Linked DNA regions of Macaca fascicularis. The protein of the gene in region 1 interacts with the protein of each later gene in a pairwise test. Links are inferred from orthologs where the notes say so. Each region holds a gene or a part of one and is shown in the gene's direction. Other genes may lie near its edges.

The links.
Region 2: the proteins of DMRTB1 (region 1) and PKP2 interact in a two-hybrid assay, tested with the Homo sapiens proteins (2 studies listed by BioGRID). The link is inferred for Macaca fascicularis from reciprocal best matches to the Homo sapiens genes DMRTB1 and PKP2.
Region 3: the proteins of DMRTB1 (region 1) and QKI interact in a two-hybrid assay, tested with the Homo sapiens proteins (2 studies listed by BioGRID). The link is inferred for Macaca fascicularis from reciprocal best matches to the Homo sapiens genes DMRTB1 and QKI.
Region 4: the proteins of DMRTB1 (region 1) and EXOSC5 interact in a two-hybrid assay, tested with the Homo sapiens proteins (2 studies listed by BioGRID). The link is inferred for Macaca fascicularis from reciprocal best matches to the Homo sapiens genes DMRTB1 and EXOSC5.

The regions. Positions count from the first base shown.
Region 1 is NC_088375.1:181,218,514-181,224,210, reverse strand, and holds the start of DMRTB1 (doublesex- and mab-3-related transcription factor B1), read left to right. Parts: upstream 1-2,036; 5' UTR 2,037-2,059; coding exon 2,060-2,630; intron 2,631-4,379; coding exon 4,380-4,552; intron 4,553-5,697.
Region 2 is NC_088385.1:35,402,015-35,407,171, reverse strand, and holds part of PKP2 (plakophilin-2), read left to right. Parts: intron 1-3,514; coding exon 3,515-3,704; intron 3,705-5,157. UniProt on the Homo sapiens protein: A component of desmosome cell-cell junctions which are required for positive regulation of cellular adhesion.
Region 3 is NC_088378.1:7,712,626-7,718,371, reverse strand, and holds the start of QKI (KH domain-containing RNA-binding protein QKI), read left to right. Parts: upstream 1-1,748; 5' UTR 1,749-2,227; coding exon 2,228-2,369; intron 2,370-3,154; exon of another isoform or gene 3,155-3,687; coding exon of another isoform or gene 3,688-3,757; intron 3,758-5,746. UniProt on the Homo sapiens protein: RNA reader protein, which recognizes and binds specific RNAs, thereby regulating RNA metabolic processes, such as pre-mRNA splicing, circular RNA (circRNA) formation, mRNA export, mRNA stability and/or translation.
Region 4 is NC_088393.1:48,537,371-48,543,306, reverse strand, and holds the start of EXOSC5 (exosome complex component RRP46), read left to right. Parts: upstream 1-2,523; 5' UTR 2,524-2,588; coding exon 2,589-2,736; intron 2,737-5,936. Other genes in the region: BCKDHA (2-oxoisovalerate dehydrogenase subunit alpha, mitochondrial), read right to left, coding at 1,984-2,091. UniProt on the Homo sapiens protein: Non-catalytic component of the RNA exosome complex which has 3'->5' exoribonuclease activity and participates in a multitude of cellular RNA processing and degradation events.

The DNA.
Region 1 (5,697 bases):
GACTTTACAAACCCTTTTTCGCTTTCCAGTGTCTAACAAGCCCCCAAATGGTAACTATTTCCTATTCGCAGGCAGCTAGTAAGAAACGCAAGGTACAACTACGATCAGAGACTCAAAAAAATCAAGGTGGACACCAGGCGTGGGCTTCTCCCATTCTACCACCAGAAAGAGAGGAATTCAAAGAAAGGGCAATGAAAAATGCACAAATTTTAGCCACTTTTTTTTTTCTTTTCTTTTTTGAGACAGAGTCTCGCTCTGTCGCCCAGGCTGGAGCGCAGTGGCCGGATCTCAGCTCACTGCAAGTTCCGCTTCCCGGGTTCACGCCATTCTCCTGCTTCAGCCTCCCGAGTAGCTGGGACTACAGGCGCCTGCCACCTCGCCCGGCTAGTTTTTTTGTATTTTTTTAGTAGAGACGGGGTTTCACCGTGTTAGCCAGGATGGTCCCAATCTCCTGACCTCGTGATCAGCCCGTCTCGGCCTCCCAAAGTGCTGGGATTACAGGCTTGAGCCACCGTGCCCGGCCTTAGCCACTTGTTAACTGTAACTCCTCCTTAAATGTGACTGATCTACTTAGAAGCTTTTCGGCTTGTTAGTGACCCATTTTTTCCTTTTTTAGGACAAAGAAGGGAGGAGAGGGGAGGGGAGGAAAATGGAGGCAGTGGGGAGGTAGGGGGAAAAGAGAGAGAGGCCTCAGGGTGTTACAAATTTGTTTTTAAAAGATGAATTAATGGCTGGGCACGGTGGCTCACACCTGTAATCCCAGCACTTTGGGAGGCCCAGGCAGGCGGATCACCTGAGGTTAGGAGTTCAAGACCAGCCTGGCCAACATGGCGAAAACCCCGTCTCTACTAAAAATATAAAAATTAGCTGGGCATGGTGGCGGGTGACTGTAATCCAAGCTACTCAGGAGGCTGAGGCAGGAGAATCGCTTGAACCTGGGAGGCAGAGGTTGCAGTGGGCCGAGATGACGCCACTGCCCTACAGCCTGGGTGACAGAGTGAGACTCTGTCTCAAAAAAAAAAAAAAAAAAAAGAAAAAACAAAACAAAAAAACCTTAATGTCCTTGGGTAAACTATGACGTTTGTGTTAGCTTTTCAGATGTCCCAATATTTGCGTTGTTTTATAAGGATAACAAAATTCATGATGAGGTTAAGCAATTACTGAAGCTAGTGCTAGACAGTTTTTTAATTTAATTTTTTAGAAACAGGGGTCTTGCAGAATTTGTTTTATTTAATTTTTTAGAAACAGGAGTCTCGCTATGTTGCTCATGTTGGTCTCCAACTTCTGGGCTCAAGTGATCCTCACAAGCAGCTAGGGCTACAGGCACAGGACACTATGCCAGGCTTAGTGCCAGAATATTCTGCCTATTTTACTTTAAAATATTCTAAGTATGCTTACTTTGGAAGGCATGAACATCAGCAATGTGCCATCCTCCAGAAGAGGATTTCTACACAAAGACTCTCAAGAAACGGGAATTACTGCAAGGGCATACCCTTGAGCAACCATCACACTGCACTGAGCTCTTGAAAATATTCTGGAATATCCTGGAAGCATCTCTGCACGGCAGAGAAGTGAAATGCCACAGAAGCAGCAGCTTTAGGGAGGAGAAATACGGTTTGCCTCTTACAGTGCTTTTCTACACTGAAAGCTACATTCCTCCCGAGTTTTAAATCTGTGGACCGTTGAATATCACTCCGCCTTTCCTGAAGTTACAAATACCTTCCGTCGGTGGCGGGAATAGAGTTTGGAAAATTACATGCCTAAGACTTCAGATAAGCTAAATGACATACATGCAATAGAATCCCATTAAGAATTTATGCAACCCAGTCCATTGCATCTAATTACCCAAAGCACAGAAACTCTCCAAACTGTGCACCCCCCAAAAGGAGGGAAAATGCAAGGTTCTTGCTGCAGTTCCCGGGACACACTGCGAGGTGCTTTGTTACAAGTGTATCCAATGTCCCCAGAACCAGGGACTTGTGGGGCGCGGCTCAACCCAGCGCCACTTGCTCTGCAGCTCCCAGAGGTGGTGGTTGTGCTACGAAGGCTGACCCTGCCAATGGCCGACAAGATGGTGCGCACCCCTAAGTGCTCGAGATGCAGGAACCATGGCTTCCTGGTTCCCGTCAAGGGCCACGCAGGCAAATGCCGCTGGAAGCAGTGCCTCTGCGAGAAGTGCTACCTGATCTCCGAGCGCCAGAAGATCATGGCCGCGCAGAAGGTGCTCAAGACGCAGGCCGCCGAGGAGGAGCAGGAGGCGGCCCTGTGTGCGCAGGGTCCAGAGCAGGCCTCCGGGGCCGCGGCCGCCGCGCCCGTTCCCCTCCCGGGCGGGAGCCTGCGCCCTCTGCCTCCGGGGACTCCCTCCGGAGACGCCGAGCCGGGACCCGAGGGCCGCGCGGCCGCCTGCTTCTTCGAGCGGCCCCCGCGGGGCCGGAGTCCCGGCCCGAGCGCCTTCCAACCGGTTCTGGGCGGCCGCGGCCACGTGGAGCCGAGCGAGCGAGCCGCCGTGGCGATGCCCAGCCTTGCGGGACCCCCTTTTGGGGCGGAGGCCACAGGCAGTGGCTACCCCGGCCCCCTGGACCTGCGCAGGCCGCTGCGGCCCGTGCCTGGCCCGCCGTTCACCGACTTTGGTAAGTCGTGGCCTCAGTCCCGCGGTGGACTCCCCGAGCTGGCAGTACAGGCCAGCCCGGATGGGCAGCTGGCATAGGGGTTTGGGGTGGGGAGAATGCTTTCCACGGGTAACGTACCTTCTGCTTTAAGAAACCCTTCTTGGAACGGGGATTTGGATTGGGTACCTTTTCGCAAAAAGGAAACATAAGGGAATGGGCGGTTCAGAGGGCTTTTTTTTTTTTTTTTTTTTTTTTTGAGACGGAGTCTCGCTCTGTCGCCCAGGCTGGAGTGCAGTGGCGCGATCTCGGCTCACTGCAAGCTCCGCCTCCCGGGTTCACGCCATTCTCCTGCCTCAGCCTCCTAATAGCTGGGACTACAGGCGCCCGCCACCACGCCCGGCTAGTTTTTTGTATTTTTAGTAGAGACGGGGTTTCACCATGTTAGCCAGGATGGTCTCGATCTCCTGACCTCGTGATCCACCCGCCTCGGCCTCCCAAAGTGCTGGGATTACAGGCTTGAGCCACCGCGCTTGGCTCAAAGGGCTTTTAACATTTAGCTGTAGTTTGTGCCATTCTGGCATGCAAGAACAAAATGGCGTCCAGTCGACTTAGCAGTGCTTCCTCCTCCGGGAAGAGGCCTCGAGGAGCCCAGTCCTACTGCGCTTGCGCACCTCTTCCCGCCATTTCCTTGGGCTGGAGGCTCCTCCTCCAGAATAAGAGACTTTTCCTGCCGGCAGGTTAGCGCAAGGACGACTGCGCCTGCGCACTCTTCCTTCCCTGTTCGCGGTCGGGAGGCTCCTCCCCTCAGCACGGCCCTGGACCAGTGCGCCTGTGCACCTCTTCCCTCCCTTTCCCCACGTGCGGGTGAGCCGAGCCTGCTGCTTTACTACACGTAAGAGAACAGTTGGTCTGTAAAGATGTTGCCTTTCTTTTTGCCCCTCACCTGGTACATAAATTACATTGTTCCCTGTGCCTTGGAGCTTTCGGTATTGAAGTACAGTTTCAAGTCACATGTACATTTGAAGCTTTAAAAGCCCCGGGGTTTGGTGTGGACGCGTTTTCCTGGTGTCTCCCCATGGTGGTGTCGTGGGACGGGCTGAGGCCGAGGCGGGAGCCTGGGTCACGCTGGACAAGCTCCTGCCCTCTGTGTGCCAGGGCATTGGTCCAGAGGCTTCCGCAGGCTCGTCCCGCCTTCCTGACTTTCCAGGAAAATCTAGGTCCCCAGGGAACGCCCCATCTGATGGGGTCACAGGTCTGAAACTGCAATTCTAGGAGAAGCCGCCTTTCTTTGTTCCATCTCAACAGACAAGCAGGGCTGGGCTGAACTATGAGCCAGGCATTCGTGATGAAGGACGCGGGTCACATTTCTTGCCCTCAGGGACCTTGTCCTTGTGGGAGGGACAGGGTTGATTGAAGAGTCACACAAATCGCTGTCCAGAGCTCGAGCCATGGCCGGGTTCACTGTTGACCCGGAGGAAGAGTAACTTGGCACGGAGGACTCGTAGAGGCAGAGTGTGGGCAGACGGCGTGTGGGCAGCGGGGAGCCGCAGGCCGGGGGCCCACAGCGGGCTTGATGGCCGTGCCGAGGACTCTCCAAGAGCAGCGGGGCTGGCTGGAGGATGGAGATGCAGTGAGGGCCCAGCGGAAGGAAGGGCGGGGTGGGCTTTCTGTGCTTGGACAGCAGCGCTTACGACTCCGCCGGCCTGTGCCACCCTGCGGATGCTTTTCCCAGCGGTGTCTAACACTTCCCTCCTTGCTTGCCTTCTTCAGGGCGCCCTGTGAGCATCAACCCGGACCGTGCACTGGGCCCTGAGTACCCTGGCGGCTCCAGCATGCACCCCTACTGCCCGTTCCCGCTGGGCTACCTGGACGCCCCTCCTGGCGTCCCCCTGCAGCAGGGCTTCCGGCATGTGTCCCGCAGCCAGTACCAAGGCGGAGGCTTGGTGAGTCCCACCCCTCATTTCTTGCCAGCTTCCTCCTCCTCCCAGCAGCCCCTGTTGCTTTGATGGATCCTCATTCCCAGGAAGCCAGCTGTCATAAACTGTGTGCCCACTCCATGCCAACCCCCGAGTGCTGGTGGATGGCTTTACGCACTGCCCAGACACAGTGTGTGTGTCTCTGGGAGCACACGTGTGGACCAGTCTGCACCACTCGGCCTGGGCTATGGCCTGTGCTTTTCAGGGCAGTGGGCTGAAAGACTCTGAGCATTCAGGGTGACCCCTTCCTTGACTGATGCTGATGCTGGAAGGGCCCTTCATTTTGCTGGACTCCAGAAAGGTAATATCACCTTACTGGGACCACAAAATTTAAGGCAGAGTCAGGACCAGAGGTAGACTCCCTGCCCACAGGTAGAGCACACTTGAGACTGCAGAGGGCTTTCAGGAGGAGGTGGCATTTGAACTGAGTCATGAAAAATACGGAAACCTTCCCCCAAACACCTGACACTTTAGGAAATACCTGTTGAAAGAATGAAATTTAATCCTTTTATAAGGTTAGTAAAGGTCAGTCGTTAGCTGGTATTCTGTCTAAGCTGGGAATTTTGAGAACCGAGTGTGTAAAGTCAGTTCACCCCTGTGGTGTGTACTACGAGGTAGGTGTGATTGAGTTTTATGGCCTTGGTTACCAGCTCCTTCCAGACTAGGATGGCTGAAAGCCCTCTCTCTCCCTAATGAAAGTCATTAGCCGCACAGTGTGGAGCCAGTCCAGTGGGGCTCGAGCTGCACCCGGGCATGTTGGGCACACAGGTCACTGGGTCCTTACTCCTGCTTCAGCCTGGCGGCAACAGCTTCTCTTCCACTTGTCTTAGATGTTGTAAAATTGTGCTTAAAAATCATTTTCCACTGATTCAAGGGAAAAAAGTTTGAAAGCCACTGGCCTTGATAATTCCAGGGTGCCTATTGAACTTTCAAGGTAGGTGTTGTACCCCATTGTAGCATTGAGAAAAAAAGGCTCAGAGAAGTTAAGCTTTTGGCCAGGGTCACAAAACTGGTGAGAGAGAGACTAGGATTCCAGTTACACAGCTGGTTGGTGACAGAGTCAGGTCAGGTCTGGGGTCTAGGTGCTTTCCACTGCCCCTCCCTCTCTCCCA
Region 2 (5,157 bases), on another chromosome or scaffold:
ATATTCGGGAACTGTGGGGATCAGCAAAAGCAAAAGATGCATGCTCTCTATCTTTTAAGAAGAGTCTAAAGTGGTTAGAGGAAAAAGAGGAAAACATACATGAAAATAACTATTACAAAAAGTTTAAGCACAAGTTCGCATTGACCAAAATATGTACCACAGGACAAGTTCCGGTGGACTTGTCAAATAGTAATACCTTTTTAAATTGTCCAATAAGTTTTTGGGTACAGGTGGTGTTTGGTTATACAGATAAGTTATTTAGTGATGATTTCTGAGATGTTGGTGCACCTGTCACCTGAGGAGTGCACACTGTGCCCAATGTGTAGTCTTTTATCCCTCACCCCTTCCTACCTTTCCCCAAGTCCCCAAAATCCACTATATCACTTATTCCTTTGCATCCTCATAGCTTAGCTCCCACTTATAAGTGAGAACATACAATATTTGGTTTTCCATTCCTGAGTTATTTCACTTAGAATAGTGGTCTCTAATTTCATCCAATTGAGCCGCAAAGGCCATTATGTCTGTCTTTTTAATGGCTGAGTAGTGTTCCATGGTGTATATATACCACATTTTCTGTATCCACTTGTTGGTTGATTGGCATTTAGGTTGGCTCCATATTTTGCAATTGTGAATTGTGCTGCTATAAACATGCATGTACAAGTGTCTTTTTCATATAATGACTTCTTTTACTTTGGGTAGATACCCAGTAGTGGAATTGCTGGATCAAATGGTAGCTCTACTTTAGTTCCTTAAGGCATCTCCATACTGTTTTCTATAGTGGTTGTACTAGTTTACATTCCTACCAGCAGTGTAGAAGTGTTCCCTGTTCACCACATCCATGCCAACATCTATTATATTTTGATTTTTAAATTATGGTCATTCTTGCAGGAGTAAGGTGGTATCTCATTGTGCTTTTAATTTGCATTTCCATGATAATTAGTAATGTTGAGCATTTTTTTCATGTTTGTTTGAAGCTTATCAAAAAAATTTTCATATGCCATTTGTATATCTTCTTTTGAGAATTGTCTATTCATGTCCTTAGCCCACTTTTTGATGAAATTATTTGGCTTTTTTCTTGCTGATTTGAGTTCCTTGTAGATTCTGGATATTAGTCCTTTGTCGAATGCAGTTTGTGAATATTTTCTCCCACTCTGTGGGATATCTGTTTACTCTGCTGATTATTTCTTTTGCTGTGCAGAAGCTTTTTAGTTTAATTGAATCCCATTTACTTATTTTGCGTTGTGTTGCGTTTGCTTTTGGGTTCTTGGTCATGAACTCTTTGCCTAAGCCAATGTCTAGAAGAGATTTTCCATGATTATCTTCTGGAATGTTTATGGTTTCAGGTCTCAGATTTAAGTCTTTGATCCATCTTGAGTTGGTTTTTGAGTGAAAGATGATGATCCAGCTTTATTCTTTTACATGTGGCTTGCCAATTATCCCAGCACCATTTGTTGAATATGTTGAATAAGGTGGCCTTTCCCCACTCTGTGTTTTTGTTTGCTTTGTCAAAGATCAGTTGGCTGTAAGTATTTGGCTTTATTTCTGGGTTCTCTATTCTGTTCCATTGGTCTATGTGTCTTTTTTATTTTCTGTAGCCTAATTGTGAAAGTGACGTGTCTATTTTTTTTAATACCTTTCTTATTAGTACAAAAAGAAAGCCAAACTCAAACTTACAACCAAGAAGTCATATACATAGTAGAAAAGTACCTTTAAAATAGTTTATTTCTCTTTTTAGAATGGTAGTATTACTTATGTATTGAAAAAAATCTTGGGAAGCAAAGATTATTCATTTATTATTTATTCACTTATTTAATTGTACTTTTTAAAATAGAGACAGGGTCTCATTATATTTTCCAGACTCGTCTCAAACTCCTGGGCTTAAGTGATCCACCTGCCTCGGCCTTCTAAAGTGCTGGGATTACAGATATAAGCTACTGTGCCTGGCCTCAAAAATGATTTTAGTTTGGCCGGGCACGGTGGCTCACGCCTGTAATACCAGCACTTTGGGAGGCCGAGGCAGGCAGATCATGAGGTCAGGAGATCAAGACCATCCTGGCTAACAAGGTGAAACTCCGTCTCTACTAAAAATACAAAACTTAGCTGGGCATGGTGGCAGACGCCTGTAGTCCCAGCTACTCGGGAGGCTGAGGCAGGAGAATGGTGTGAACCCGGGAGGTACAGCTTGCAGTGAGCCGAGATCACGCCACTGCACTCCAGCCTGGGCGATAGAGTGAGACTCCGTCTCAAAAAAAAAAAAAAAAGAAAATGATTTTAGTTCACTATTAATATTGTTGTAGAAAAGCAGCTCCTATTAACATTTTTCCTCAGGTTTCTTATGTGGGTTTTTTTGGTAATATTATGTATTCTTTTCTTTTTTCGTTTTTTTTGGAGACAGGGTCTCTCTCTGCTGCGCAGGCTGGAATATGGTGGCGTGATCTCTGCCCACTGCAACCTCTCCCTCCCAAGTTCAAGCAATTCTTGTGCCTCAGCCTCCTGAGTAGCTGGGACTATAGGCACAGGCAGGTGCCACCACGCCCAGCTAATTTTTGTATTTTTGGTAGAGACGGGGTTTCACCATGTTGGCCAGGCTGGTCTTGAACTCCTGACCTTAAGTGATCCACCCGCCTCAGCCTCCCAAAGTGCTGGGATTACAGGTGTGAGCCACCAAACCTGGCCAATAATATTATGTATTCTTTATATAAATAAATATACAGATTTTTCACATACACTATTAGCATAATTATTTTCTTTTTATTACACATGCTTCATAGATAGGTTTTGTGATGAGTAATAGTCTCTGCAGGTGTGTTTTAGTTAATCATATTCCTATTATTAGGATATTCAGGCTTTTTAGTTTTTCATTTACGTGTAGTACTGTCATAAAGATCTCTGTAGAAAGCTTTTTCCATTTTCAAAGTGATGTTTTTAAGATGTATTACTAGACATGGAATGACCGAATTGAAGAAGATGAAAATGTTTTAAGTTCTTGACATTTCTGCCAAATTACATTCTGAAAAGATTTTCAATGTGCTGAGCACAGAGTATCCTCTTTTCAAATATTTTAAAAAATTTGTTATTAGGGAAATTACATCTTTCCATGTGTTGTCAACCAGCTGTGTTTCTTTTTAAGAATGTTCTTGGCCAGGCGCGGTGTCTCACGCCTGTAATCCCAGCAGTTTGGGAGGCCGAGGCGGGCTGATCACAAGGTCAGGAGATTGAGACCATCCTGGCTAACACAGTGAAACCCCCTCTCTACTAAAAATACAAAAAAATTAGCTAGGCGTGGTGGCGGGCACCTGTAGTCCCAGCTACTCGGGAGGCTAAGGCAGGAGAATGGAGTGAACCCGGGAGGCGGAGCTTACATTGAGCCAAGATCATGCCACTGCACTGCAGCCTGGGCACAGAACAAGACTCCGTCTCAAAAAAAAAAAATGTTCATTACCCAAAATGTATTGGGATTTTGGGATTAAGAAACAATCTTTTAAATCAAGTGTTTTTTTTTTTCATTTTGTAGCCAAAGAAACTCTCCCCGATTTGGTTTCCATCATTCCTGACACAGTCCCAAGTACTGACCTTCTCATTGAAACTACAGCTTCTGCCTGTTACACATTGAACAACATAATCCAAAACAGTTACCAGAATGCACGGGACCTTCTAAACACCGGGGGCATCCAGAAAATTATGACCATCAGTGCAGGCGATGCGTAAGTCCTTCAGCTTCTGCCCGTCAGTGGCCTCCCTTTCCCCTCACCACCCTGTGTGTAAACAGCCCAGTTATGAATGTGCAGTCAGGGTCATCATGTGCAACATGGCGGCAAACAGGACGCAAAGCCAGGCCAGATTGTCTGGCCAGCCCTCAGTGACCAACCAAGGAAAGAACTGGAGCCACCACACCACATGCTTGTCCCTTCTCTTCTGAAGTGTCGAGAGAGGGTCAGACTCCAGAGCTTCTCTTGGTAGTGCATTCCAGCATTGTATTGGCCTAATGAATTAGTTTCCCAGAGCCACAGCCATGATTTAATAACAGCAGAATGTAGGCAAAGCAGGAGTCCTCTGGACAGATAAGTGCCCTTTTCCTCACTCCCATCTTAAGAGGCAACGTCACACCAGGTGGCTTAGAAGAAGCAGTGATGGGCTGGGCACAGTGGCTCATGCCTGTAATCCCAGCACTTTGGGAGGTCCAAGCAGGTGGATCACTTAGGTCAGAAGTTCGAGACCAGCCTGGCCAACATGGCAAAACCCTGTCTCCACTAAAACACAAAAACTAGCTGGATGTGGTGGTGCGTGCCTGTAATTCCAGCTACTTGGAAGACTGAGGCTTGAGAATTGCTTGGGCCCAGGAGGCAGAGGTTGCAATGGGCCGCGATCATGCCACCGCACTCCAGCCTGGTTGACAGAGTGAGATTCTGTCTCAAAAAAGAAGAAAAAAAGCAGCAGCAGCAGCAGTGATGGCACAGGAGAAGCAGTGGGGGGAGCCTGATGACAAAGTCTTGCTTTCACAGTTTTTTCTCTATCTTATCTCTTCCACATCTTATTCCCTTTTGAGAATAGAAGGTCCAATGTGTTCCTGTTTTCAACTTTGCCCTATTAAAAAAAAAAAAAAGTGAGGAGAATGAAAAACCTTGTTTAACCAAATTATTTACTATTAGTTAATTTAGAGTGATGAGATTGAAAAGGGGCATGAAGATTATCTTTTTCTCTTTATACAATTCGGAATTGTTTGACTTTTTACAAATAGATACAAGTTACTTTTGTAAATAACCAAACAAGAAAAGAAATGGCCACTATAGCGTAGTTCTAATGAGTTACAAAGCAGATGACTTCATCTGTACTGAAGAAACGTGTGCTTGGCTGTTCAGGGATGTACATGTCACCTCCACCACAGCCCCACCCAAGTGAGGTCCCTTCTACCCTGCAGCCCACTTTGCAGTGCACATGAGGAAGGAAGACTGCATTCAGAGTCAGATTAAAACAAGCCCTGAGCACTGGCTGGAGCGTCAGTTCCCCAAGAATATTCACCTGTCGCCACAGGCTGGCAGATAGTATCTAGAGTTGCTCAGTCTTTGTGGAAAGAATGAATTACTGCTGGAAAACAGAAATGACTCTTCTTCCAAACAGTCATCCAAACTTCCAGGCAAATCACCATAAGATAGTATG
Region 3 (5,746 bases), on another chromosome or scaffold:
TTAGAGGTGATTCTCAGAATTCGTGTGAAGCAACATTTCACAAAAAAAATCACCTACGTTCACTATTAAGTCAGAAGACAGAATGATTAACAGTAAATTTCAGCCGCGAATTACTCAGTATCAACTGGATATTAAATAACTGCATTATTTTAATGGAATGTTATAAAGGATTTGCAACAAAATGCAGATGCAGATGTAGATTTAGGGACTGTCGACTTCTATAGATCAAGGAGGACTTCATTGTTGCAGCTCAGAACATTCTTCCAAACAAATCTAAATGTTGGAAATCCACCACACTGCAGAGAAAGACCTCTTGCCTCCGTATTCTTTCTTCATCTGTAAAAATGTTGACTTCTGCTTTTCAGACTACGCGCACAGGCTCTTTCCTACTGCGGCTTCATTCCCTCACGGAACACTGATGCCATCGCGAAAGAAGCATTTCGAGCACGACTAACGCTCCCCTTATAATTTGCTAAGCCGCTGCGCTCGGGTCTCGCTACGATTTGCTTTCAGAATAACGAGAAGGTGCAACAAGATCGCTTCCCTGGCGGCGCGTCAACCGCTTGGCCCAGACCCCCCACGCCCGCCCACCGCCCCGTGGGTGCGCACGCGTGTCCGCGCACGCTTCCCCGCCTGGCGAGCGCGAGGCTTCTCTCCGCCGTGCTGCTTTCCAGCCTCTCAGCAAATCACGAACACGGAAGGGAGCCACGGCGGCGACGGGAGGGGCGTCGCGCGTGGTTCCCTCGGCGACAAAGCGGGAGCCCGGCGCGACGGGCGCCCTACCCCGCAGAGGCGGACGCCGCCGCACGCGCCTCAGAAAGCCTCAAACTCCAGTCCTCGGCTCCCCCGCCACACCCCCGCCCCGCAGCCAAGACCCGCGAGGTGGCGGGCCCGACGGCCAGGGCAAGCCCACCAGCCCTCCGCACCGTGGGCGACTGGCCAGCGCCCGGCCCTAAACGGGCAGCCCCAGCCCCTAGGCGGCTGCCGCCCCCAGCCCCGCCCACGCCCCACGCAGGCGCGCTCCGGGCCCCTTCCCTCCCCCACCGCGCGCTCGCGGGGCCCGGCGGGGGCGGAGCGACCCTCGGAAGGGGCGTGGCCACGGGGCACGACGCGCGCACGCGCTCTGGAGCCCCATGGCTACGTGTCGGGCCACGTGATGCCCACCCCGAAAGTCCCCCGTGAAGCAACAGGACGTTAAAAAAAATTTCTTTTCTGCGGGGTGGATGAGAGGTTCTGAAAAAACTATAGTAACGGGAGGCGAGGCGGAGGCAGCGCTGGCGCGTCCCGCTGGAATTCCTCCCGCCTGCCGCGCCAGCCCCAACCGCGCCCGAGCCCCGCGCCCCCCCGCGGCCGTCAGCCCCGCAACCCACACCCACCCGCCCCGGGCGCCCCGCACGGCGGCGACCCAGTCCCTGCGCCCAGGCCCGGGGCCGCCGAGCGCCGCCGCCCGTCACGCTCCCGTCGCCCCCGCCGCCCGCCCCGCCAGGGAGGCAGGGAGGAGGGGGCACGGCGCCGGCTGCTGCCCGGGTCGGGGGGCGTCGGGCAGCGGGAGCGCGCCGGCCGGGCCCCGCTAACGGCCGCCCTGCGCGGCCCCGCCCGCCGCCCGCCCCCGGCCCTCCCCGCGCCTTCGCCCCTCCCCCCCCGCCGCTGCTGCCGCCGCCGCTGGCAGCGCCGCCTGAACTGAGGCGAACTCCGCCGCCAAGTGAGTGAGGAGGAGGAGGAGAAGGAGGAGGAGGAAGAGGAGGAGCGCAGTCAGAGCGCGGCGGCAGCGGCAGCGGCAGAGGCGCCGCGGCGGGGACCAGCCCAGAGAGACCCCCCGAGCCCGCGGCACAGGCGGCGGCGGCGCTGAGCGGGCGCGACCAGCCGAGCGAGCGGCGGCCCCGGCTCCTCCTCGTCCGGCGCCAGCGGCCCGCGCCCTGCGCCCGCACTCGGCCAGCCGAGACCCGCCTCCCGCCCGCCCGCCGGCCTCGTGAGGGACGCGCCGAGCCGGGCGGCCGAGAGCGGCGGCGGCTGGGAGCGCGTCGGGCCCGGGCGGAAAGTGCCTGCGGGGGGCGGGCGAGCGCGCGGTGCCGGCCGCCCCGGGGCTCGGCGCGGGAGCCAGAGCGGGAGCCGGCGCGGAGCGGGACGCCGGGTCCCGAGCGGCCCGCGGCCGGGGCTCGCCCCCGCCCCTCCCTCCTCTCCGGCGGCGGCGGCGGCGGCGGGCGGAGTGAGCTGCGGAGCCTGGAATATGGTCGGGGAAATGGAAACGAAGGAGAAGCCGAAGCCCACCCCAGATTACCTGATGCAGCTGATGAACGACAAGAAGCTCATGAGCAGCCTGCCCAACTTCTGCGGGATCTTCAACCACCTCGAGCGGCTGCTGGACGAAGGTGAGCGTCTCCGGGGCCCCGGCCCCGGCCCGATCCCCGCCGGGGCGGCCCCTTTCCCTGCTTGGGATGGTGGGGAGGGCGGGAAGGTCACGGCCGGGCGGGACCGCGCGCCGGGGGGACTGGGAGGCCAGGAGGGCGCACAAAGGAGGCGCCGGGCCGGGCTTGCGGCGGCGGCGGGCGGGCGGGCGGGCCGGGGTGGACCCGCCGGGGCCGGACGCCCCCTGCCCGGCCCGGGACCCCGCGCCGCTGGCGCCCAAGTTTGTGCGCTGCGGAGGGCTGCGGGGCGAACCCTGCGGCCCCTCTGGCTTTGGCGGTCACATTTCCGAGAGGCCAGCGGGGGCTGCGCGGGCTCGGTGGTCCTCGCCAAGCCCTCCCGAGAGCAGGCCCACGCCGCGCCGCCGGCCTGGAGGACGCGCGTGTCCCCGGCGCGGGCCCCGCTCCTCTCCTCGACCTCCTGAGCTTGCTCTGCGCGGACCCCCGCTGCCCCGCGTTCGGGAGCTCTCTCCCTCCCATGAGGACTAAAGCGGGGTTTCGTGCTTGGGGAGTTGGTGCAGCTGGTAAATACTAAGTGGAAGTCAGAGTGGGGCTCGTTAGTTTAAAGAAATTCCATAGGAGACCGAAATTATGCTGGCGTAGCCGACAAGGAGGACGAAGTGACGGCGAAAAGCACTTTTTTCCCTTTTGTTTGGGGAAGCGAGAACTGTTAGGGAGTTGAACTTCACTTTTCGGGGGTGGGGGGGGGGGTGGAGTGCGAAATAACGCGATGACAGATCGGAGCGCAGCCTGAGTTAGGAAGAACTTGGGCGGAGGGTTTGCTCCCGGAGACGCAGCCGCCCGAGTTTGTAGGACAGGGAATCGAGACGTTTGGAAAGGGCGAAATAAAATTGAGCCGAAGTTTTCAAAAAGCTTTATGGAGCGCTGTGGGGAGCGAAGAATGACAAGAAGATTAATGTTGACCAACTCTGGAATTTCCTTAAGAAGTTCTCATAGCAGTATCTGGAGTATTAATTTCTAGTAGCTGTGGGTTTCTGTGGACGCCTAGAGACAAAAATAAATGACCACAAAAAAGTGTTTCGAAAATCGACTAGCCAGGAGTTTTTTTTTTTTTTTTTTTTTTTTTTTCCTGCTCAGAGGCATCACCGGAGGACTGTGTAAAGGAAACTGAAAACTTTAGGTTGAAGAGATGAGCAATGGAGTTTAGATTTTTCGCAAGAATTTCGAGATTTTAAAAATAGAGTCGGGGAACAGGAGTTTGAAGCTTGGGGAGTTGGAATGTCATTAGAGAACAAAAGGCCGGAAATGTTTCCATGATAAAAAGATGATTAAAGAAAAATCCCTGGAGTTTTATTGTCTTGAAAGTCAAAGAAACAACTTAAAAGTAGAAAATGGTTAGGTGTTACGGCTTTCTCGTCGTTTTGCTTCCATATGTTAAACATACAGCACTCACCAGCATTGAAATGGGCATTTTCCACTGTTGGAACAGCAAATCTGTTAATTTCAAGTTGCTCCAGAGAAAACTTGAGCTGTCCCTTTAAAGGGTTCTGCTTTTCCTGTTTGTGTTGGCATTTGAAAGATTGTGGAGGCAGAAAACTTTCTGGAATGTCAAAAAAAAAAAAAAAAAAAAATTGCTGGAACTCTTAAATTGAGTATTTCCAAATGTGAGCGCTAAGGGGCGCCAGTTATTTTTTAACCATGGAAATGGTTGGAACCAAATGTGTAACATACTCAGTAATCTGACCTATATTAAATTTAGTTGAAACTTAAATTATAGATTATTTGATTTGTCATGTGTTTATATAGTGTTTTCGAACATTGAAAACACTTTCCTTAAAATTATTAGCACAACTTCATGACGTTTCAAAAGTAACACTCTTAATATTTTCTCCTTGGCATATTTCGGTTAAGTTAAAGTTTTAGTAGTATTAGTAACAATTTCTGGTGAAAGTTTTTTTTCTTGAGTGCAGTTGTTTAGAAGGAATCCTTTATCGACGATAAAATGAAAATAGGCCTTGACAATATTTAGGGTTAATTAAAATTAAATTGTATTCTTGAAATGTTGAATTCAAAGACTATAGGAGATTCCAAAAATGTGAAAATACTTTCACCTTATGTATACTATTTAAAAAACTGCATACTTTTGAGTTTCTTTAGTTTTAAAAGGCTTCTTGTGCTTTTGTGTTGATCTAAAATCTCTAAATTTAGAGCTGATTCCTTGTTATCAAGTTTCCAACCTTAGGCTTTAATAATTTTTAATCTTTCAAATCCAGAAATGTTAATTATGTCATTATCTCTAACAAAGGCTTATTTCTCTCTGGTTGGAAATAGTTCTCATTTGCGTTTTAAATGTAGGAGATCACTATGATATCGCTTAGATAATGTTTGTTTCCCCTTCCCCTTTTAATGTGGTTTACTCCATCTCTCATCTTACTCTGTCTTTAGTTTTTGCCTTGTCAACTCCCCAGTGTAAAGATTGCTTCTGTATGACATATAGTATGTTTAAAATGGGCAATATAATGACAAGGAAGCTTGATTGTTTTTTATCAGACCAGTACAAACATGCAGGAAAAAGGGCTATTCCTTAGTGTGGAATAAGCTGCTTCCTGTAATTGTTAGTCTTATTATAAACTTAATTTGATTTAAGAAAAATATTGGTTTCTGAAGTCCATCACATTTTTTTTTTCTAGATGATTTAATTGTGAAATTTGGCATCTTGTGCTTTACCCCTTTGTGGTTTGTCATTGTTCAAAACAAATTAATCATGACTTTTGTTTCTGGTTAGGCATTACTTTTTTGTTTTTGTTTTTTTTTGCCTATAATGCTTGGTCGAAAAATTACTTTTAAATCTAGATAAAATTTACTAAAAATTTTACTTTAGGGATTGGTTTAATGAAGTTAACATCGTATTTAGGGTAGATGTATTTTCTGATAATTAGGAATTTTAAATGAGATTTTAAATTTTTTATTTTAAAATATTTTTCAAAGAATACGGTTTTAAAAAATTAACTTGTCAGCCTAAGAATTTCCATTTGGCTAGTTGCAAATTTGAGGATTAAGTGTGCTGGTTTTCCTAGTTAATCGATTAAGACTTGGATGTTTTAGAATAAGTATTTTAATTCCTTGCCAAGTTAACCTTTAGCCTGTATCTTGATTGTGGACAGTCCTTTTGTTTTACTGCTTGTTTTTGTTTTTGTTTTGTTTTTTGCTGTTGCTGGTGGTGGGGGTGTGTGTGCCAGCTCTTCCACTCAAGTATCTTCAGCACGGTTGTTTGTTAAAGTTATGAATACGTATTGGGTTGGGCCCGTCATATAAAGGACATAAACTTGAGTTTGAAACTTTTTATTGAAGATAGAGATGATCATAGGATTACACATAAAACC
Region 4 (5,936 bases), on another chromosome or scaffold:
AAAAACAATAACTCTAAGATAATACAAATTTAAAGATATATTAAAAAATTAAAAGTAGGGACTTCTTCCCTCCCCATTCCTCACCACAAATGAAGGAGGGGAAGCAAGAGGAAAGGTAATCAGGAGATTGAGACAGGAGAGAAAGATTTAATCAGCCTTAAATGACCTTTCCCTACCCTGCCCCAGTCCTGCCCACTTCCCGCCCCAGTTGCCCAGCCAATAGGCTCCTGGGACTGAGATCAGCGGTGGAGGATATGAACTGCTCCAAAAAAAAAAAGTGAAAAGGTCTCCAGCCCAAAGGCAGGAGACTGCCCTACCCACATCTTGCTCCTGCAGCCCTTCTGCATTTACCTGTTTCAAGTGACTCCATTCCTAGATACCTACTACGTCCTACTCCCGGCCCATCCTCTTCACCCTCCTCCCGTTTGTCCCCCTACCCAGAGCTTCTTTCTACAGATTCCATCTTCTCCTCCTTATGGATTGGGGATCAGAGGATCAGACTCAACCTCACAAGATCTTTTAAGATTTTTTTCCGCAGGGCCTCACCAGTCCAGGCCTTCCCAAGGTCACCCTTTTCTTCTCCCCATCTCCAACGTCAGTTTCTGTCCTTTCCCTCTACCCTCACTATCAACAATGACCAACATTCCTATTGCCCTTATGATGTGCCAGGTCCAGTCCTTAGCATTTTACATATTAATTTTTCACAGTCCTATGAGGTGGCCACTGTTAATATTTTAGAGAGGGAAATTAGGTCCATAGATCCAGAGAGGTGCAGTCCGTTGCCCAATACACAAGTGGAAAGTGGCAGAGCAAGGACACGAACCCACCCATGTAACCACTACTCTCCTATCTGTCAAATGTAGTTCAAAGCTCTTCTGCAACCCCTTGCCTCTCCCCCTCTAAAGAGAGGCTTCCACCCAGGTTTTTTGCAGTGTAATTTTGACAGCATCCACCTGAAGGGATTGTGACCCTTTTGACAAGAAACAAAGCCTTCTCAAGTGTTTCTAAGAAATGTGGGCAAAGTGCCCTATCTGTACCTCTGTCCCTCCGTTTTTCCCCTCATTAACTCAACAAATATTAATCATCTCCTCTGTACAGTGTCCAGAACACACGAGTTCCCTGTCTTGATATTCGATCAGGAGACACAGGAACCAAACAAAATTTTTACACAATTCATTTTAAAATCAGAATTGTGGCAAAGGAGCAAAGAAATACAAGGCCCTATGCAGCCTGCGATAAGGGGACTTGCTCTCTTCTTTCTTCTTCTTGAAGAGGGATCTTTGCCCAGAAGAAAGTCTCTCCTTTATAAAGTCAGTTTCATTCTCCAAAGCCTGAGGGAAAAGGTCTCGCGGTCTTCCCCTGTCCCTCCAAGGAACCTCCCCTGAATACGAGTGGCAGTTAATAAGGAACCCCCGGCCGGGCGCGCTGGCTCACGCCTGTAATTCCAGCACTTTGGGAGGCCGAGGTGGGCGGATCACGAGGTCAGGAGATCGAGACCATCCTGGCTAACACAGTGAAACCCCGTCTCTACTAAAAATGCAAAAAAAAAAAAAAAAATTAGCCGGGGGTGGCGGCGGGCGCCTGTAGTCCCAGCTACTCGGGAGGCTGAGGCAGGAGAACGGCGTGAATCCGGGAGGCAGAGCTTGCAGTGAGCTGAGATCCGGCCACTGCACTCCAGACTCCGCCTCAAAAACTAACTAAATAAATAAATAAGGAACTCCCATCCCTCTCTTCAAGTCGTCTCCCTCCCTCAGGGCCCACAAAGAAGTTGCAAACGGGTTTTGTCCTCTCCTGAAGAAGTGGAAGTTCTTTTCTTCTAAGGAAGTGGCAGATCTTCCCTTCGGTGTCTTCTCCAAGGGGTCTCCCACTTTTTCCCTTCTGTGACAGCCCTTCCTTCATATCCTTCAGGGACCCCACACTCTGAAGATAGCCTTTACATCCCTAATCCCCTTTGGGAAAACCCCCTGGGGCCCAGGTACTCACAGATCTAGCCAATCCCCGAGCCCCAGGCCGCCACAGCAGCAAGAGGGCAGCCTGGCTCAGGCCTCGGTTTGGCCGCCAGACCCTCGCTGCAGCGATCGCTACCGCCATCTTGGCTAGCAACCACTCAGCGGTAGGGCACTCACGTAGGCTAGATTCGGGGCTGCCCCTTTATGTGCCTGACACAAACTCCAGCACCATCTGACAAGAAAATCACCTTCTTCCCATTCTGTTGTAGATAGAATGCACAGAGATTTGGAGAAGAAAACCTATCTACCCAAAATTTTCCCCAGTCGCCTCATTGTAGTTACTCCTGTAACAGGCAAAGAAGAGGGCAACCTGACCACGGCCTCAGGGATTTAGGGCCCGGGGGCCCAGAGTAAAACAGGTCACTGCCAAGGCCTGCCTCCTGTTCTCAACTGTCCAATGGCGTTGCCAGAGTTAGGAGGTGGGACTGGGCGGAGCCAGATTGTTGGTAAACGCTAAGCCACGTGCGGACGCCAGGACTGACGGCCGAGCCCAGCGCGTGCGCAATGGTTACGCAGAGTGTTCGCAGCGCGCGCTGCCGGGCGGAAGTGATAATCGCAGCCGCACGTGGGGTCGGCGCGATGGAGGAGGAGATGCATACTGACGCCAAAATCCGCGCTGAAATTGGAACAGGGTGCAGCCCTCGGGGTCCCGGCTGCAGCCTCCGGCACTTTGCCTGCGAACAGAACCTGCTGTCGCGGCCAGATGGCTCTGCTTCCTTCCTGCAAGGTAAGAACTTACCCAGGTCTTTTGGAGAGGGACTACCATGTACCGTGCAACGGAGTGCCCATCTCCCCATGATACCAGCTGGTAAATGTCACTCCTGCGTTGATACATGATTTCTTGTCCGATTGAATACTACTACATACGCAGGGATACATACATCTCTCCCTCACGACTAGAAAGGAGAAGATAGCTCCATCTTTGTAAATATGTCTGAGAATGACAGGCGGGGCAGACCGTCCCCGCAAGAATTGATATTTCAGAATAGGGAAAATCACCTCACCAGGGTAAATATCGCCCTTAACTAGGTTCCTCCTCCTCACCCCCGCCCCCGCCCGCCCCACACACACGCCCGCTAGGTCCTTGCATCCCGGACTGACGCAAACCTGTCAATTTGCATACTCTGGACTGTGGCGGATCTTTCACCCACGTAAATACTCCTCAAATTGAAGATAATGTCACTGCCCTGGGTTGAAAAATACATCCCCACCGCTACCTCACTGCATCTCTCCACAGGAGTAAATATCCCTAAGATTAGGGCAAGTCTTACCTATAGGGCAAATATCCCCTTCCCCTAGCTAAATAACTCTCAGAACCAGATTAACTCCAAGAATATTTCTCTTTAACGTTTGAGACAGGAGGCTGGGCACAGTGGCTCACGCCTGTAATCCCCACACTTTGGGAGGCCAAGGCGGGTGGATCACCTGAGGTCAGGAGTTCGAGACCAGCCTGGCCAACATGGCGAAACCCCGACTCTACTAAAAGTACAAAAATTAGCCAGGCATGGTGGTGGGCGCCTGTAATCCCAGCTACTGGGGAGGCTGAGGCAGGAGAATCTCTTGAACCCAGGAGGCAGAAGTTGCAGTGAGCCAAGATTGTGCCATTGTACTCCAGTGTGCACGACAAAACAAGATTCTGTCTCAAAAAAAAAAAAAAAAATTTTGAGACAGGGTCTCACGATGTTGCCCAGGTTGGTCTTGAACTCCTGGACTCAAGCAGTCCTCCTCCCAAAGTGCTCATATAGGTACCAGCCACCACGCCCAGCCCCAATACATTTTAACAAAATCTGGCTGCTGTGTTGATTGTGGGGAGTATGGGGGAAAACAGGGAGGTGATGGTGGCTCCAGCCAGAACAGGAGTAGTGGAGGTGATGAGATTCTGGATGTAGTTTGAAAGTAAAACGGACAAAACTTACCTATAGTTTGGTTTGAGTGCGAGGAAAAAGAGTCAGGCATAACTAAGGTTTCTGCCCAGATCTGTACAAGTCTGGAAATCAGGAGAGAGACCCAAGCTGGACATAGGCAATTTGGAACTCTCTGGCTGTATATATGGTATTTCAGCCTATTGACTGAACGAAGTCAGTGTAGATGGAAAAGAGGTCCCAGGACCAAGCCCTAGGCCTTCCAACTTGAGCAGTCAGGGACTTGTGACAAGCAAGCTAAAGGAGACTCAGAAGGAACGCCCAGAGACTTAGGGGGAAACCGGGAGAGGGTGGTGACCTGGGGCCAAGAGAAGAGCGTGTCTGAGATGTGAGGGCTGACAGCTGTTTCGGCCTTACTGACAGCCGGGTCAATGGAGGGTTGATCATTTGGAGGTCAGTGGTGACGATGTTGAGCTGCCGCAGTGGAGTGGTGGGGTCACAGGAAAGGAAGAATAGACAGCTGTTCAGGAGTTTTGCTGTAAGAGGATCAGATAAGTGGGGCAGGAATTGAAGATGGTTGTGGGGTCAACAGGGGAGAGAATTGCTGGAGCCACGTCTTGAAGAAGGTGAGAGGGGAGGGACTCTTGTGCTCAGGTGAAACACAGGCAGTTCATCTGGAGCCAGAGGCGAGTTCTATTTTGGTTTCTCCAGTCCTCAGGGCAGTTTTTCCTGGAACTAAGCACACCTTCCGTGTAAGGGCAAATTGGGCATCCCAGGAAATACCGCCTTAACCAGGGACCTTCCCGGACCCTCCCTCAGGCTTAGCACTTATGCTGAATTGAGATACCTCAAGTTTCTTCGAACCTAAGAATTAAGAAGGGGCCGGGCGCAGTTGCTCACATGGGTTGCTCACACCGGTAATCCAAGCACCTTGGGAGGCCGATGAGGGTAGATCACCTGAGGTCAGTAATTCTTTTTTTTTTTTTGACACAGAGTCTCGCCCTGTCACCCAGGCTAGAGTGCAGTGAAGCGATCGTGGCTCACTGCAACCTCCACCTCCCAGGTTCCAGCGATTCTTCTGCCTCAGCCTCCCGAGTAGCCAGGACCACAGGCGTGTGCTCCCACGCCCAGCTAATTTTTGTAGTTTTTAGTAGAGACGGGGTTTCACCATGTTGGCCAGACTGATCTTGAACTCCTGACCTCGTGATCCACCCGCCTCGGCCTCCCAAATTGCTGGGATTACAGGCGTGAGCCACCTCGCCCAGTCGAGGTCAGGAGTTCTGAGACCAGCCTAGCCAACATGGTGAAAACCCGTCTCTACTAAAAATACAAAAATTAGTCGGACGAGGTGGCACGCACCTATAATCTCAGCTACTCTGGAGGCTGAGGCACGAGAATCACTTGAGCCTGGGAGGCGGAGGTTGCAGTGAGCTGAGATTGCACAACTGCACTCCAGCCTCCTGGGTGACAGAGGGAAACTTTGTCTCAAAAAAGAAAATAGAGACAGGAGTCTTGCTATGTTGCTCAGGCAGGTCTCAAACTCCTGGCCTCGAGCAGTCCTCCCACCTGGGCCTCCAGAGTGCTGGGATTACAGGTGTGAGGCACCATGTCTGGCCTCAAATGTTTTGGTTTTTTTTTTTTTTTTTTTTTTTTTTTTTTTTTTTTTTTTTTTTTTTTGAGACGGAGTCTCGCTGTTATTGTCCAGGCTGGAGTGGAATGGTGCCATCTCGGCTCACTGCAACCTCCGCCTCCCCGGTTCCAGCAATTCTGCCTCGGCCTCCCGAGTAGCTGAGATTACAGGCACCCACCACCATGCCCAGCCAATTTTTGTATTTTTAGTAGAGATGGGGTTTCACCATGTTGGCCAGGATGGTCTCAAACTCCTGACCGCAGGTGATCCACCCACCTCAGCCTCCCAAAGTGCTGGGATTACAGCAGACAGTACTAGAAGCCAGGCTATTTATTTCTTCGGTCTTACCTCCTGTACCCCATTTATAGCTTCTGGGGAAATAAGCAGGAATCAGGATTCATTCCAGATATTATTCCTTTCTCAGGTGTCCAGACT